Linked DNA regions of Ovis aries. The protein of the gene in region 2 interacts with the protein of the main gene of each other region in a biochemical or structural test. Links are inferred from orthologs where the notes say so. Each region holds a gene or a part of one and is shown on either strand. Other genes may lie near its edges.

The links. The genes of interacting proteins can lie anywhere in the genome.
Region 1: the proteins of OXSR1 (region 2) and WNK4 are reported together in a solved structure, tested with the Homo sapiens proteins (2 studies listed by BioGRID and IntAct, with this or other methods). The link is inferred for Ovis aries from reciprocal best matches to the Homo sapiens genes OXSR1 and WNK4.

The regions. Positions count from the first base shown.
Region 1 is NC_056064.1:42,548,912-42,552,561, reverse strand, and holds part of WNK4 (serine/threonine-protein kinase WNK4), read right to left. Parts: intron 3,483-3,650; coding exon 3,262-3,482; intron 2,905-3,261; coding exon 2,747-2,904; intron 2,220-2,746; coding exon 2,131-2,219; intron 2,040-2,130; coding exon 1,823-2,039; intron 147-1,822; coding exon 1-146. UniProt on the Homo sapiens protein: Serine/threonine-protein kinase component of the WNK4-SPAK/OSR1 kinase cascade, which acts as a key regulator of ion transport in the distal nephron and blood pressure.
Region 2 is NC_056072.1:11,735,273-11,738,922, reverse strand, and holds part of OXSR1 (serine/threonine-protein kinase OSR1), read right to left. Parts: intron 2,106-3,650; coding exon 1,959-2,105; intron 351-1,958; coding exon 286-350; intron 1-285. UniProt on the Homo sapiens protein: Effector serine/threonine-protein kinase component of the WNK-SPAK/OSR1 kinase cascade, which is involved in various processes, such as ion transport, response to hypertonic stress and blood pressure.

The DNA of each region.
Region 1 (3,650 bases), on a different chromosome or scaffold from region 2:
GGTGGGAGTCTCGGCGCTGGGGGGAGGGCCTCCAACTCCCTAGCTTTGCGCAGCTTCTCACGCTTTCGCTGGATGGCAGCAACCCGTTCACGCACTGCACGAGCCACTGGCTGGTAATCAGCTTCACACACTAAGCCCAGGGCCACCTGGAGTTGGAAGGGTGAGGAACACAGTTTGAGGTGAGATTCACCATCCCTCAACAAAGCCCCATCAGGACACCTTCTTGAGGCCTCTAGGATATACATGAAAAGGAACATATATTGATTACGCACTGTGTCCACAACTGGCATTTTTTAAAAAGCCATTTATTTACTTGACTGCGCTGGATCTTTGCTGTGGCAGGTAAGATCTTCAGTTGCAGCATGTGGAATCTAGTTCCCTGACCAGGGATCAAACCTGGACTCCCTGCATTGGGAGCATGGAGTCCTAGCCACTGGACCAGAGAAATCCAACTGGCAACTCTTTACCATATCATCATTAAATCCTTCCAGCAACCTTCTGAGATAGGTCTTATCAACTCTATTTTAGAAATAAGTAAAGTAAGTGACCAGTTCAAGGTTATACTCTAAGTCAATTGCTCTGGGGGGATGGTGGAGAAAAATATCTGTAGATATTTTTAGTTGTCACAACTTGGGGGGTGATCCCACTGGGATCCTCTAAGTTGATGCCAGGGATTCTTCTCAACAACCTACAACAGTATGGCAGAGTCTCCTGAACAATGATGTCACTAGTGTTAAAGTCAAGAACTTCTGTATGTAATGGACCAGGTCCCAATCTCAGGTCAGGTTTGAGCTGGGCTACAGAGACTGACTTCTATGTCTTATTTCAAATACATTCTTAGGTTCTTGACCCAGATCCACCAACAGATGATTCCCACATTTTCAACTGCATTTTCCCATCAAGAATATCATACTCTTTCCCTTCCCACCTCAGACCACCCCCATATCTTCTGCCTCTCATATATGCCTCTCCTGGTCCACCAGCTTCTATTCATTATCCTTATTCATTTCAATAACAAGCTTCACTGGGCAGGTAAAGGTGGGGCAGGATGAACTGACTCAAAATCTGAACAACCTGAGTCAGTTGTGCCACTTTCTTGCTTGGGACCTGGTACAAGATATTCAGCTTCTTTGAGCTTTCATTTCCTCAGCAGTAAATCAGATAAAATCACTCTATGCACGGTTGGTAACAACCATCAGATGCACATGAAAGGGCTCTAAGATGTGGGTGGTTAATAGTTCCCATCACGTGCTAAGCACTGTCAGGGGCAGAAGGGTCAATACACACAGTCTCTGCCCTCAAGCCCTTGTAGTCTTGTGGAGGAGAAAGATGGGAATGTATCCTGGTATAAAATAAGACTGATGGGGACCCGTTCAGTAATGGAGGGCCTGATGAAATGGAAAGAAGCATTTAACTCTAGAGCGGACAGGCTTTCTCAAATGCACGGTTCCGAGCATGAAGCAAGATCAAGAAAAAGATGGAGTCGGGGAAACAAGAAAGGGAAAAATAGATAACACGGAGAGAGGACAATTCGGGAAAGCCGGATCAGAAGGAAATTAAAACAGGGAGGTTGAGGGACCCAGGGCCGGAAAAGGAAATTTTTGACTTGACTTGAGGAGAACACTAGGTGTGCCCGCAGGTGCGTTAAGGAGAGGGCAGCAGGGAGACACTCGTAGGAAACTCGGAGAGGGCTTCGTTGAGCCCACCACCCAGACAACCCACCACCCAAACATCGCACCCACAAGGCACTGGCCTCTCCGGTTGAGATCCACACGCCCCTCACACGCCCAGTTACGCGGCAGGCATGCTGTCCTCCGCTCACCATCTCCTGAGCCACCTCCTCGGCCGCGTCCCGGCCCAGCTGGAACAAGAACTCGATGGCCTGGTTGTCCCGTGGGCGCCCCCCTCGCCGCGCGTCCTCCATGCGCAGCCAGAGCTTGAGGTCCGGCTTCTCTCCGTCGTCCTCCTCCGCCAACTCCACGTGGACGCCGCGCTCCTCGCGGAAGAAGGCGTGAGCCAGAAGGTCGTGGATGGTGAACCTGAGGGCGGTGCCAACCTGAGCAGAGCCCCACCGCCGCCCGCTCCCCCCGCCATTACCCCACCCCCGTCCGCCCTGCCCCCTCCACCCACCTCTCATTCTTATCCGTGCGGATGCAGCCTTCAATGATCTCCTTTACCTCGGGCATCTTCACCTTGTAGAAGCTGTTGGGTTTCGTGCCCTGGGGAATGAAGTTGCATGAGGCCTCCGGCTCTCTGTGCCCCAGCTTTCTGCTGACCTCCCCCTCCCACCCCGCCCCAGCCCGGGGCGGCAGCGCTTGCAGTTGCCAAAGCACCGGGTACACGTTTAGAAGTTGTGATTTCAAATCCCAGTCCCCCCGCCCCGACCCCACCACCCCCCCACACACACGTATCGACAGTGCGACCTTGAACCAGGCTCTCGCTGAGCCGGTGTCCTCATTTATAAAATGCAGGGCAGAACATTTGCCCTGCTCACCCCGCGGGGCAGGGAACAGGATCGGATGAGAGATTGGATTTGAATCATCGGTAATCTCTAGGGAGCGCTACACACATCGTTATTCTAAACAGCTTGAATTGGAGGGGCCGTGAGTGCATCCAGTAACCTTCAGTGTTCACCGGGGCGTCTTTGTGTCTACCTCGTTTTCATTAAGGGAAAGGGCATTGACCGCGGGGTGGCCTGGGCAGCCAAATGGAAGGGGGCCTTGTGATTCCCTCTCCTCCCTCTCACCGAGGTGACCCTGCGGTAGATTTGAGCAGCATTCTGGCACTCTGAGTAGGGGTACTCCGAGGTCGCCATCTCCAGCATGCACATGCCAAACGCGTACACGTCCACGGCCTCGTCGTACTTTTCCTCGTACATCTCTGGGGCCATGAACTCCGGGGTCCCTGCAGGATCCACAGCAGACGTCAGTACCTCCTTTCTGGCTTCGTCCCTCTCCTTGAAAGTACAAGTGGGGGTGGGGGCAACCGCGCGAATTCTGGAGTGCAAGAGACCCACCCCTTCCCGTCGTGTGTGTGTGTGTGTGTGTGTGTGTGTGTGTTTGTGTGTATGTTGGGTGGGGGGGTTGTGGGGAAGAGGACACGCTACAAGTCTCATCTTCCCCGTGGTCTTCTAACTCCGTGGGGGGGTTCTAACTCTGACCCCCTTCTAAATCTACTGGGGGAGGGAGTCCCCAGGCTCTCTCCAGACAGGGGAAGGGGAGGGAGGGTAGGAATGACAAGGATCCTCCTGGAGGGACGCACCGATGACGCTCTTGGCGAAGGAGGCGCGCTTGAGCGTGGCCAGGCCCAGGTCCCCGATCTTAACGGAGCCCGTAGGGCCGGTGATAAAGACGTTGTCACACTTGAGATCTCGGTGCAGGATAGGGGGTACTCGGGAGTGTAGGAAATGCAGCCCCCGCAGGATTTGGCGGCTCCAGCGCTGAAGGACTCGTGGTTTCATCTCACGGAACCGCCTCAGGTATCTAGGGGAGGGCGCACAGCTAGGGTCAGAGCGAGGGATACAGAGGATGGGGAGGGAGCCCACCACTGGGAGGTTCCCCGCCCCGTAGCCCCACCCACTCCCGCCCACGCATCTGCCGCTCTCTTCTCCTAGCACAGATCCGCGCCCGGCCTCAGACAGAAAGGCAGTC
Region 2 (3,650 bases):
ACCCCCAGAACATTCCCCAAATAGGTCTTGCTGCCTCTGCTCTAATTATGGTCATACTGAGATGACTAGGAATTCACATGTGGAAAGAGGAATGAGTCAATGGTAACTCAGATCCTCACACTACTGCTATTATATCTGAGGGAAATAATACACCCGAAAGCAAACACACACAGTTCTATCCAGTTACTCTCAGGCATGCACTATGAGAAGGAGGAGTAACTTCCAAAGAGAAATCAGCACATTCAGAGTATTCAGAAAAGAACAACAACAAAATGTCTTACTTACCGTAATCTTAGTACTAGACTGATTGGGATCTTGGTTTCTTGTGAACCTGCTCCTGAAGACAGAGCCTAAAAAGCATTGAAAGGTATAAAGTCATTGCCTGGAGTACTGAGTGTGGTGGTGACTGATGCTCGTCTAAGAGATGAATCGTCCACGTGGCAGCAATTTTCTTCATCTCCAGGTGTGGGCATCCTAGTCCCCAGGACTCCCTGCTGTGGGAGGACATGCACCCTAAGGCAGCAGCAATAGCTGAATGTCAGTCTGAGTCAAACACAATTGGAAAGATCATTGTCAAACCTACATGAAATGCCATACACAGTCACATTTCAATTTTGCGTTTTTCAGACCTCTGTTCCCCTCTTTAAGAGTGAAGAACAAGACACTGGATTTTCCCTTTAAAAAACCTGCCATTGGCCACACATCTGTAGTAAGGCCTAAACTGGCTGCTGCTCAGGAAACCACCCAACCTGGAGGTTCCAGATCTTTAATCCTCTGAAAACCATAGAGCTGTCCCTTGCTTACTGGAGGATGTACATTCTATTTAGGCTGTTTATAAAATGAATCCAATCTTTTCATCAGTTTTCATAAGATGACTATCTCCTTTCCCATATGATGGGCAGAAATGGAAAGCTTAGGCAAAGGAAAGGTTAAATGTAGTCAGGACTCTAGTCTGGAAGCACTCAGAGCAGTGGTCTCCAAAGGCAGAGTACTGCTGGGATGCAGATGAAAACATCTGACCTTCTATTTTTATTTTTTCCTACCTGAATTTTAGAAAAAACAAAATAAAAACACTGCTACTGTTTAATAAACGCGTGGACTCTGAACTGGTACTCTCGCCATGGAGCACAGGCGTATGTTGCAGACAGTACTGCGCTTTCCCAGGGGAAGAGTGGTGGCTGCACAGCAGCGGCGGGGCGCTTCTCAGGGGGCCTTCACTCCCTCAGCACTCACAGCACCTTCTGATTCAATAAGGTCATGTGTGCCTGACTGGGTGGATTCACACATCACTTTATGGCATTTTAATAAAATCAACCCCACAAAACTGACAGGTATCTTAAAAAGAGCAGCGCAGGAAAACCACGGTTTGGAGACAGTATTAACAAAGACGACAGAAGAGTTGGCAGTGCTCCTCAGTGGCAGCTGCATTCTAACCTTGAGCAGAACAAGGATATAACAAAAAGCTGACAAGACAGGGGAGCCCTTCTCATTCGGTCCACTGTCCAAGCAGCAGACACTGTTACGAGAAGGTCCCGCCGTGACAGTGTGCAAGCGTCTCGCCCAGCCTCCTGTGGCACTCCTGGAGCTCACTAGGTGGTCCCTCAGGTGTGCAAGGCCGAGCAGTGGCATATCCTGTGAGTGGCTCCCTTTGGGGGTGCGGGCAGGCATTGAGACCGGAAGACAGGAAGGAAGCTGACAAGAAATTTCAATCCCCCAAACTATTGCTGTTTGGGATATTTCCATCATTAACTTATTCTGGTGCTCAAAAAACGAACCGTGTGATCCTTGTTAAACTCTCTTATCTGCATACACGTGAAACTGTGAGAACAGAATTTCTAACTTGCTTCAGAATCTACCAGGACATCATCCTTAGTGCACAAGGCGGTGTTGCACGCCAGCCTCCGCCTTCTTCCTCCACCCAGAAGGCTGACCATGGAAGAAAGCAGGCCCTGCTGTACCTGAGCTGCTATCGCTGGCTCTGCAGTGGGTGGCAGGGAGACTTGAGTGGGTTGCGCAGCCGTCGGCCCTGCTGGCTGAGGTAGATGAGCAGAAACCTGTTCTGGAACTTGGAGTAAAGTACCCACAGGATCAGTTGTGGAAAATAGCTGTAACAAAAACACAAGCAGCGCTGTGTAAGCTTAGAGGAGAGGGAGGTGGGCCTGCTGATGGGCAAGCAGTGTAGGAGGGGCAACCTTTTCAAAGCAGTTCTTATGTATGAACTGGCCCATCTCTGCAACCTCATACACCTCTTTCAAATGGAAGTCAAATATGTCTATGCTTTTCTGTTTTTAAGAACTTTTGAGGTGTAAATTTCAGTCAGTTCAGTCACTCAGTTGTGTCCAACTCTTTGTGACCCCATGAACCACAGCATGCCAGGCCTGCCTGTCCATCACCAACTCCCGGAGTCCAACCAAACCCATGTCCATCGAGTCGGTGATGCCATCCAGCCATCTCACCCTCTGTCGTCCCCTTCTCCTCCTGCCCTCAATCTTTCCCAGCATCAGTGTCTTTTCAAATGAGTCAGCTCTCCACATGAGGTGGCCAAAGTATTGAAGTTTCAGCTTCAACATCAATCCTACCAATGAACACCCAGGACTGATCTTTAAGATGGACTGGTTGGATCTTGTTCCAGTCCAAGGGACTCTCAAGAGTCTTCTTCAACACCGCAGTTCAAAAGCATCAATTCTTCGGCGCTCAGCTTTCTTTATAGTCCAACTCTCACATCCATAAACGACCACTGGAAAAACCATAGCCTTGACTGGACGGACCTTTGTTGACAAAGTCATGTCTCTGCTTTTTAATATGCAATCTAGGTTGGTCATAACTTTTCTTCCAAGGAGTAAGCGTCTTTTCATTTCATGGCTGCAATCACCTCTGCAGTGATTTTGGAGCCCAGAAAAATAAAGTTAACCACGGTTTCCACTGTTTCCTTATCTATTTCCCATGAAGTGATGGGACTGGATGCCATGATCTTAGTTTTCTGAATGCTGAGCTGTAAGCCAACTTTTTCACTCTTCTCTTTCACTTTCATCAAGAGGCTCTTTGGTTCTTCTTCACTTTCTGCCATAAGGGTGGTGTCATCTACATATCTGAGGTTATTGAGATTTTTCCTGGCAATCTTGATTCCAGCTTCTGATTCCTCCAGCCCAGCGTTTCTCACGATGTACTCTGTATGTAAGTTAAATAAGCAGGGTGACACTATACAGCCTTGACGGACTCCTTTTCCTATTTGGAAACAGTCTGATGTTCCATGTCCAGTTCTAACTGTTGCTTCCTGACTTGCATACAGGCTTCTCAAGAGGCAGGTCAGGTGGTCTGGTATTCCCATCTCTTTCAGAATTTTCCACAGTTTATTGTGATCCACACAGTCAAAGGCTTTGGCTTAGTCAATAAAGAAGAAATAAGATATTTTTCTGCTTCCTCTGCCTTTTCTAAAACCAGCTTGAACATCTGGAAGTTCATGGTTCACGTATTGCTGAAGCCTGGCTTGGAGAAATTTATGAGTTGAGGTGTAAATTTATGTCCCACTAAATCCCCCTATTTAGGTCTACAACTCAAATGATTTTTAGAAAATTTATACTTGTATAAATATCTCTACAACCAGGTTTCAGCACTTCCATCAACTCAAAAAATTCTCCTGTGTCCATTTA